Kluyveromyces lactis: one gene and its partner. The protein of the gene in region 1 interacts with the protein of each later gene in a biochemical or structural test. Links are inferred from orthologs where the notes say so. Each region holds a gene or a part of one and is shown on either strand. Other genes may lie near its edges.

Region 1 (3,940 bases):
GTTCCGGCTTGTCTCTTAAAGGATCGTACAGTTTGTTCTTATGAGCCACTATATAACCTATTCTTGTTGACGTAGTCGAGATCAATTTATTTGCTTGAACTTCTAATGAGGACATTAAGTCAACAAGCACAGAGACATTGTGTTTAAACTCAAGACACGAAGAAGATGGATCAATACCAATAGCTTTCAACGAGTTTTGAATCAAATCACTTGATAAATGTGGAGCATGAACAAATAAAAGTTTTTGAATAGACGGAACAGATGCTTTTCCCTTGAGTTTACCTTTTTTAGCCTCTCCGGGCACAATTGTGCTTTTGGCTTTAACGTCGGCTTCTTTCAACCAATCTGCTATTTCATTTTCGAAATATTCCTTAGGATCAGGAACCGTAGTTGAAGTTTGGTTAATTTCTGCAAAGTTGGCCATGTCATAAAATTCACCAACTTTCATCGAATAATCATCGACAACTCTCTGTAGTAAAAGAATTTTTTGGTCAGCATCCAATAAAAGCACATTTCCGGCACTGAAAAATTCTAAAACAAGGTAGTACTTACCATCAGCAAAAGTAAACACAATTATTCTGTCATTTGGGATCTGCTTAACTGCCGTCAATCGTTTTTCTTTCAAATACGATCTCAATTTGGAAACAAACCACGAAGGAGTCGGGGGAATCGGCCTGGTAAAGTCAGTAGTATGAACTCGCAATCCGCAATCAATGACAACGTTTAACTTGGAATCGGGTTTTCCAAACTTTAATAAGAATTGCCTGTTTGAGTCAGCAATGTTATAGATATTTCTTAAGCGAAATCCTACAATTTGATTCTCCAACTCTTTGGATATCAGTTGCAAATCTAACGAACTCAATCTCTGTTTCATTTTCTAGTATCAAATCCAAGATTATAGTTTAGATATTTCGTACTCTCCAAGTTGCAGTTAAGTCCACTTTACCAGTCTGAGTTGATTCTTTTCGAGCACTATACTTGATTCAGATCTTCATACAAATCAGTATTTTCACTGCTAATCAGATTAAAATTATTAGAACTTGGTCACTGCTATTAGATCAGATATCTTTTATTACTTAGGTTTAAGACTAAACTGCTAAGCTGATATATTTTCCAGATAGCTGTACCTAGGATGTTAGTAGTATATGTCATCTTTGTCTATTCGCAATCACTTTATATATGCTGCTAATGAAGGAAAGAAAGACTACGTACGAGTTTGTATTGGAACTTTCTAAACTACCATGTTGAAAAATGTCAAATATTTGAAATCACATGACCTGAATTTCAAATTTTGAACTAGAAATCCTTAATATGTATATCATCTTGCACGGTGAAATTTTTCATCAAACAACAACCCAAAAATGTAATTCACTTAACAAGCAAAGTAGTTTCTATGCTCAAAAATAAGTGATCAGAGATATTCAGAGACCGTTTGTTGGAAGATTGCTTGAACGAAACGCAGGCAGGTAGCGACTTAAATCACATTACTTGTGTTTTTAAGAGAATATAATAGGATTTGTCGACAATTCTGATCTAGAAATCGATTTTTGCCCAATTAGTATAGGAGTCCTTATATTCCTGAATCACTGAACGATGTCATTCTTCGGTTTTGACGCCACGGGCCGAAAACCTCGTGAGAGGAAACAGCAAGGCGAGGAGGATTCTTTAGATTTCGAAGAAACGTATCAAGGCTTGGGTGATTATGAGCCAGAGGAAGATGATTTGCTCAATGATGAAACTTTTGGTACTGGAGCGGATCTGGGTACAGATTTTGATTTTGGTTACGGTAAAGGGGAGCTTGGCGCTGGTTCAGGTTCTGGTAGGGCACCAGCACCAGCTCCTGTTTCTTATGCATCTATTGCAAATGCCAAAATGAACAGACAAGCAGACTGTAAACCTGGTTTCGAACAATCGCTGGACATGCAACCTATGGAATCTTTATGGGGTAACAGCTCCGGTAATCAGCAACAACAGGTGCAACCTCAAGCCCCTACACAATTCCAAGCCCCACCACAGGTTCAACAGCAAGGTGCACCTAATGTGGAAGGATTGGCCATTCAATCTTTAGACAGACAACAACAGATGGCTATGCCGCCTCAACCTGGATTCTATGGTATGCAACCTCCGCAGAACCCTGGCTACGGCTTTATTCCACAAGGGTTCCCTCAAGGTCAATACCAGCAATTCCCTGGGCAAAATATTCCCCCTGTTATCCCTAATCAATTCGGTAATGCCGGATTTCCTAATCAACCTGTTAACCCTCAGGAACAATTCCAACAAGTACCACCGATAATGTACAATCAAACACAAGGAAACATTGCACATCATATGCAACATCCGCAGATGGCTATGCCACCAATGCAAAATCAACCTCCTGTTCAGCCCCAGCAGCCCCACCAACAGCAGTTACCTCCCCAATACTTGCCTCAACAACACCAACAAGATCAGCAGCACCAACAACAACACCAACAGCAACAAGTGTTCCAACAGCCTCACTCCGTTGACACTGCTGCTAGAACCCAAGCTGTCCGTTCTACTCAAGATTATGAGCATTCTAACTCTCCAACACCTGTGCCAACAGAATCAGAGCAGGTGCCAACTCCACCTCATACACCTAGAGAGTATCGCCGTGGTCCAAGGAGGTTTGGCACCCAAGATCCTTTGACTGATGAAGAATTGAGACGTCTTCAAATCAGACAATCGAAGGTTGACAAAATTCTCAGACACTCTGGTGTAATGACTCCAAGAGACAAGGATTTTATCACCAGGTATCAGTTATCTCAAATTGTCACTGATGATCCCTACAATGAGGATTTCTACTTCCAAGTTTATAAAATCATTCAAAGGGGTGTCACTCCATCTGAATCTAATAAGGATTCTATTGCTAAAGCATATTTAGAGCACTCGGGTCACAGATTAGGAGGTCGTTACAAGAGAACTGACGTCGCGTTACAGAGAATGCAATCTCAGGTCGAGAAGGCTGTTACCGTTGCGAAAGAAAGACCACAGAAAAGTAAGGGTGGGTTGGATAATGCCAAAGAGGGTGTCTTGGGTAAAATCTCAGCTACTAGGAACTCAAAAGCTCCAAGAAAGCAATTACAAATCCCAACTCACAAAGAGGATTCTCCAGCGTTGTCTTCTCAATCAAGCTCAGCCCTAGATGAGGTGTCTGAATCTTTGCAAGGCGTGGATATCAATGCCAAAAGAAGAAGATCATCTTATGCTTTGAGTTCTTCAGTGGACCATCGTACAGTTTTATCCCGTTCTGGTGGCCGTAAGTTCATTTTATCATTGATTGAAACTGTTTACGAAGAAGTGCTTGAACTAGAAGCTCAATTGAGATCCGGTCAACAGCCGGACAGTTCAAAATTATGGGAGGCGCTACACGTTGAGGACCACGGTTTTGACGTTTCTCCCTTCATTTCCATCTTATCTTTCGACAAAGGTATCAAGATTATGCCACGTATTATGAATTTCTTGTCAAGAGAAGAGAAGATTAAGCTTTTCAACTGCTTCTTCAAGGAACTTTCTCATTTGAATGTCATTGTCATATCATCGTACAAGACTACTCCACTTCCTACTAAAGATCAACTGAAGAAGATGGAATTGTTCCAATCTGTGTTTTTGAAGATCATTGTTTCGTTCTTATCCAGTTCAGCAGAGTTTTTGGAGGTAATGAGTCTACTAATAAATGTCATTCAGAATAATAACGTTTCTTTCATCACCACATCGCGTATCGGTTTGAATTTGATTACCGTGCTCATTTCACGTGCTGCTTTGATGAAACAAGATGTTAGCAGGGGCAAACTGTTGTCTTCTGTGGAAGTATCCACTTGGAGTGAAGTCTATGATAGGCTATTTACTTCTTTAGAAACAAAATTGACTGCAATTTTCCCAACACCTGAATATATGCAACACGCCATTTCAGTTTATGAACAGG
Region 2 (2,261 bases), about 1.7 Mb from region 1:
GATCAAAACACTATGGATGAGGTATACTACAAATTTGGCTTAGGAAATTCAACCAGAGAATTTATTGGACACGCAATGGCCCTTTGGACCAATGACGATTATCTGCAACAACCTGCTAGACCATCAGTGGAAAGAATTATCCTATATGTGCAATCGATTTCCAGGTTTGGTAAATCTCCATATATTTACCCTATGTATGGGTTGGGCGAATTGCCTCAAGGATTTGCTAGATTATCAGCTATTTACGGTGGGACATACATGCTAAATACCCCAATTGAAAAGGTTTTATACTCAGACGATGGTAAATTCGAAGGTATTGTCACCAAAGAAGGTACTGCAAAAGCACCAATAGTCATCGCAGATCCAACATACTTCCCTGAGAAATGTAAAACTACAGGTGAAAAGGTGATCAGAGCAATTTGCATCACTAAACAACCTGTTCCTAACACTAGTAATGCTGATTCTTGCCAAATAATTATACCACAATCACAAGTTGGAAGAAAGAACGACATTTATATTGCTACTGTCTCTGACGCCCATAAAGTTACTTCGAAGGGTCATTACCTCGCCAGTGTATCAACCATCATTGAAACTGATAAACCTCATATCGAATTAGAGCCGGCTTTCAAAATGTTGGGCCCAATTGAGGAGAGGTTCATGGGTATTTCAGAAATCTTTGAACCGATCGAAGATGGCACTAAAGACAACATTTACATCTCTAAATCTTACGATTCCTCATCTCACTTCGAATCCATGACCGACGATGTCAAGGATATCTACTTTAGGATTACTGGTCACCCCCTTGTTTTAAAGAAGAGAGAAGATGTTGCAGAGGAGTAAGTGAGAACTACGAGATAACCGTGATGCTAACTTTTGAAAATATCGTACCTTCACGTACTTCTACGTACTTTTACGTTACTTTCTTGTTTCGTTACAATCTTTATCATTATCATTTTATTTTTGTCTATTTACTATCTAGCCCCACATATTAGCTTGAATGTTTTGGCAATAGTTTTATTTCAGCAATCGACGTAAAAATATCCCAGCTAGTCCTCTTAAGTCCAGCAGCTTCTCTACTTCTACATATGAAGTTGTGTATGTCAATTTTGTACATGTATCTTTTTTTTTTCCTTCAACATGAAATTGTTTAAAACAATTTCATGTTGAAATTTGACAATACAACTACAACACATTCAAAAGTCAAATGCATGGACCTCTGAACCAAGGCCGTACTGTCCAGAACCATGCTATTATTTTCATTTTTCAAGACCCTGGTTGATCATGAAGTCAAAGTCGAACTAAAGAACGGTATTGAACTAACAGGTACTCTAAAATCAGTCGACCAATTTTTGAACTTAAAATTAGACAACATTTCGTCCAACAATAATGAAAAATATCCACATCTATCAAGCGTGAGGAACATGTTCATCAGAGGTTCTACTGTGAGGTATGTACATTTGAAGAAATCTATGGTGGATACCAACCTACTTCAAGATGCAACCAGAAGAGAATTAATGAGTGAAAGAAAGTAAACGAAAGAAGCAGCGAAAAACAGGGTTCCTGCTGCAGAAAGGAATAATTTATAACTGTTAAATATCATTCGAGTCTACCACTCTCACACTATTCACATATGTAATAATAGAACACATTACCTATCATGGTGGAACTCCCAAGAGTTTCTTCTCACATTTTGATCGGAGGTGTCCAGTTTCATTGCAATAAGAACATTTAATGTTGTTAGCTTTAGACTTTCGTTTTCCAAATTTGGCTTGTTTAGGAGTTCTTTGTACTGGAATTAGAGCATATTCTTGACCGTCTTTCTGAATAATCTCAATTTGTTTCGAAATCATTTTTGAGAACTTCTCTTTATCCAGTTCAACGGATGTAATCATCGAGATGAGCTCATCAACGTTCTTCAGTTTGTTCTCGTATTCCTCTTTTAAAGACGGGAGAGTCGACTGCTTTTTTTGGGACTGAGATAACACTAGTTTGGCTAGTTGATCAAGCGCCTCAGACTGTTTAATAATCTTGTCTGCATCCGCCATGATAGAGCTTGTGGTCACTGGGGTTATCCGATACCACACTTCCTACTCTGGTGGTCCTGAATTTGATCCTATCTCTCTATCGTTCTTTTTTCACTTAGATTCCATAGTGAAAGTGAAAATAAAAAACGACATCGGACAGGGACGGATGTGACCCCGTGAGAAGAGGTGGAGTCGCATTTCCTTACGACTATATGCTCATTTCAACATACGAGATAT

The links.
Region 2: the proteins of PAT1 (region 1) and LSM2 form a complex in vitro, tested with the Saccharomyces cerevisiae proteins (2 studies listed by BioGRID). The link is inferred for Kluyveromyces lactis from reciprocal best matches to the Saccharomyces cerevisiae genes PAT1 and LSM2.

Annotation. Positions count from the first base shown.
Region 1 is NC_006042.1:2,529,355-2,533,294, forward strand, and holds the start of PAT1 (deadenylation-dependent mRNA-decapping factor PAT1), read left to right. Parts: upstream 1-1,593; coding exon 1,594-3,940. Other genes in the region: RQC2 (Rqc2p), read right to left, coding at 1-874. UniProt on the Saccharomyces cerevisiae protein: Activator of decapping that functions as a general and active mechanism of translational repression and required for P-body formation. First decay factor recruited to mRNA, at a time when the mRNA is still associated with translation factors.
Region 2 is NC_006042.1:854,812-857,072, forward strand, and holds LSM2 (Sm-like protein LSM2), read left to right. Parts: upstream 1-1,244; coding exon 1,245-1,532; downstream 1,533-2,261. Other genes in the region: GDI1 (Gdi1p), read left to right, coding at 1-840; KLLA0_F09229g (uncharacterized protein), read right to left, coding at 1,656-2,045. UniProt on the Saccharomyces cerevisiae protein: Component of LSm protein complexes, which are involved in RNA processing and may function in a chaperone-like manner. Component of the cytoplasmic LSM1-LSM7 complex which is involved in mRNA degradation by activating the decapping step.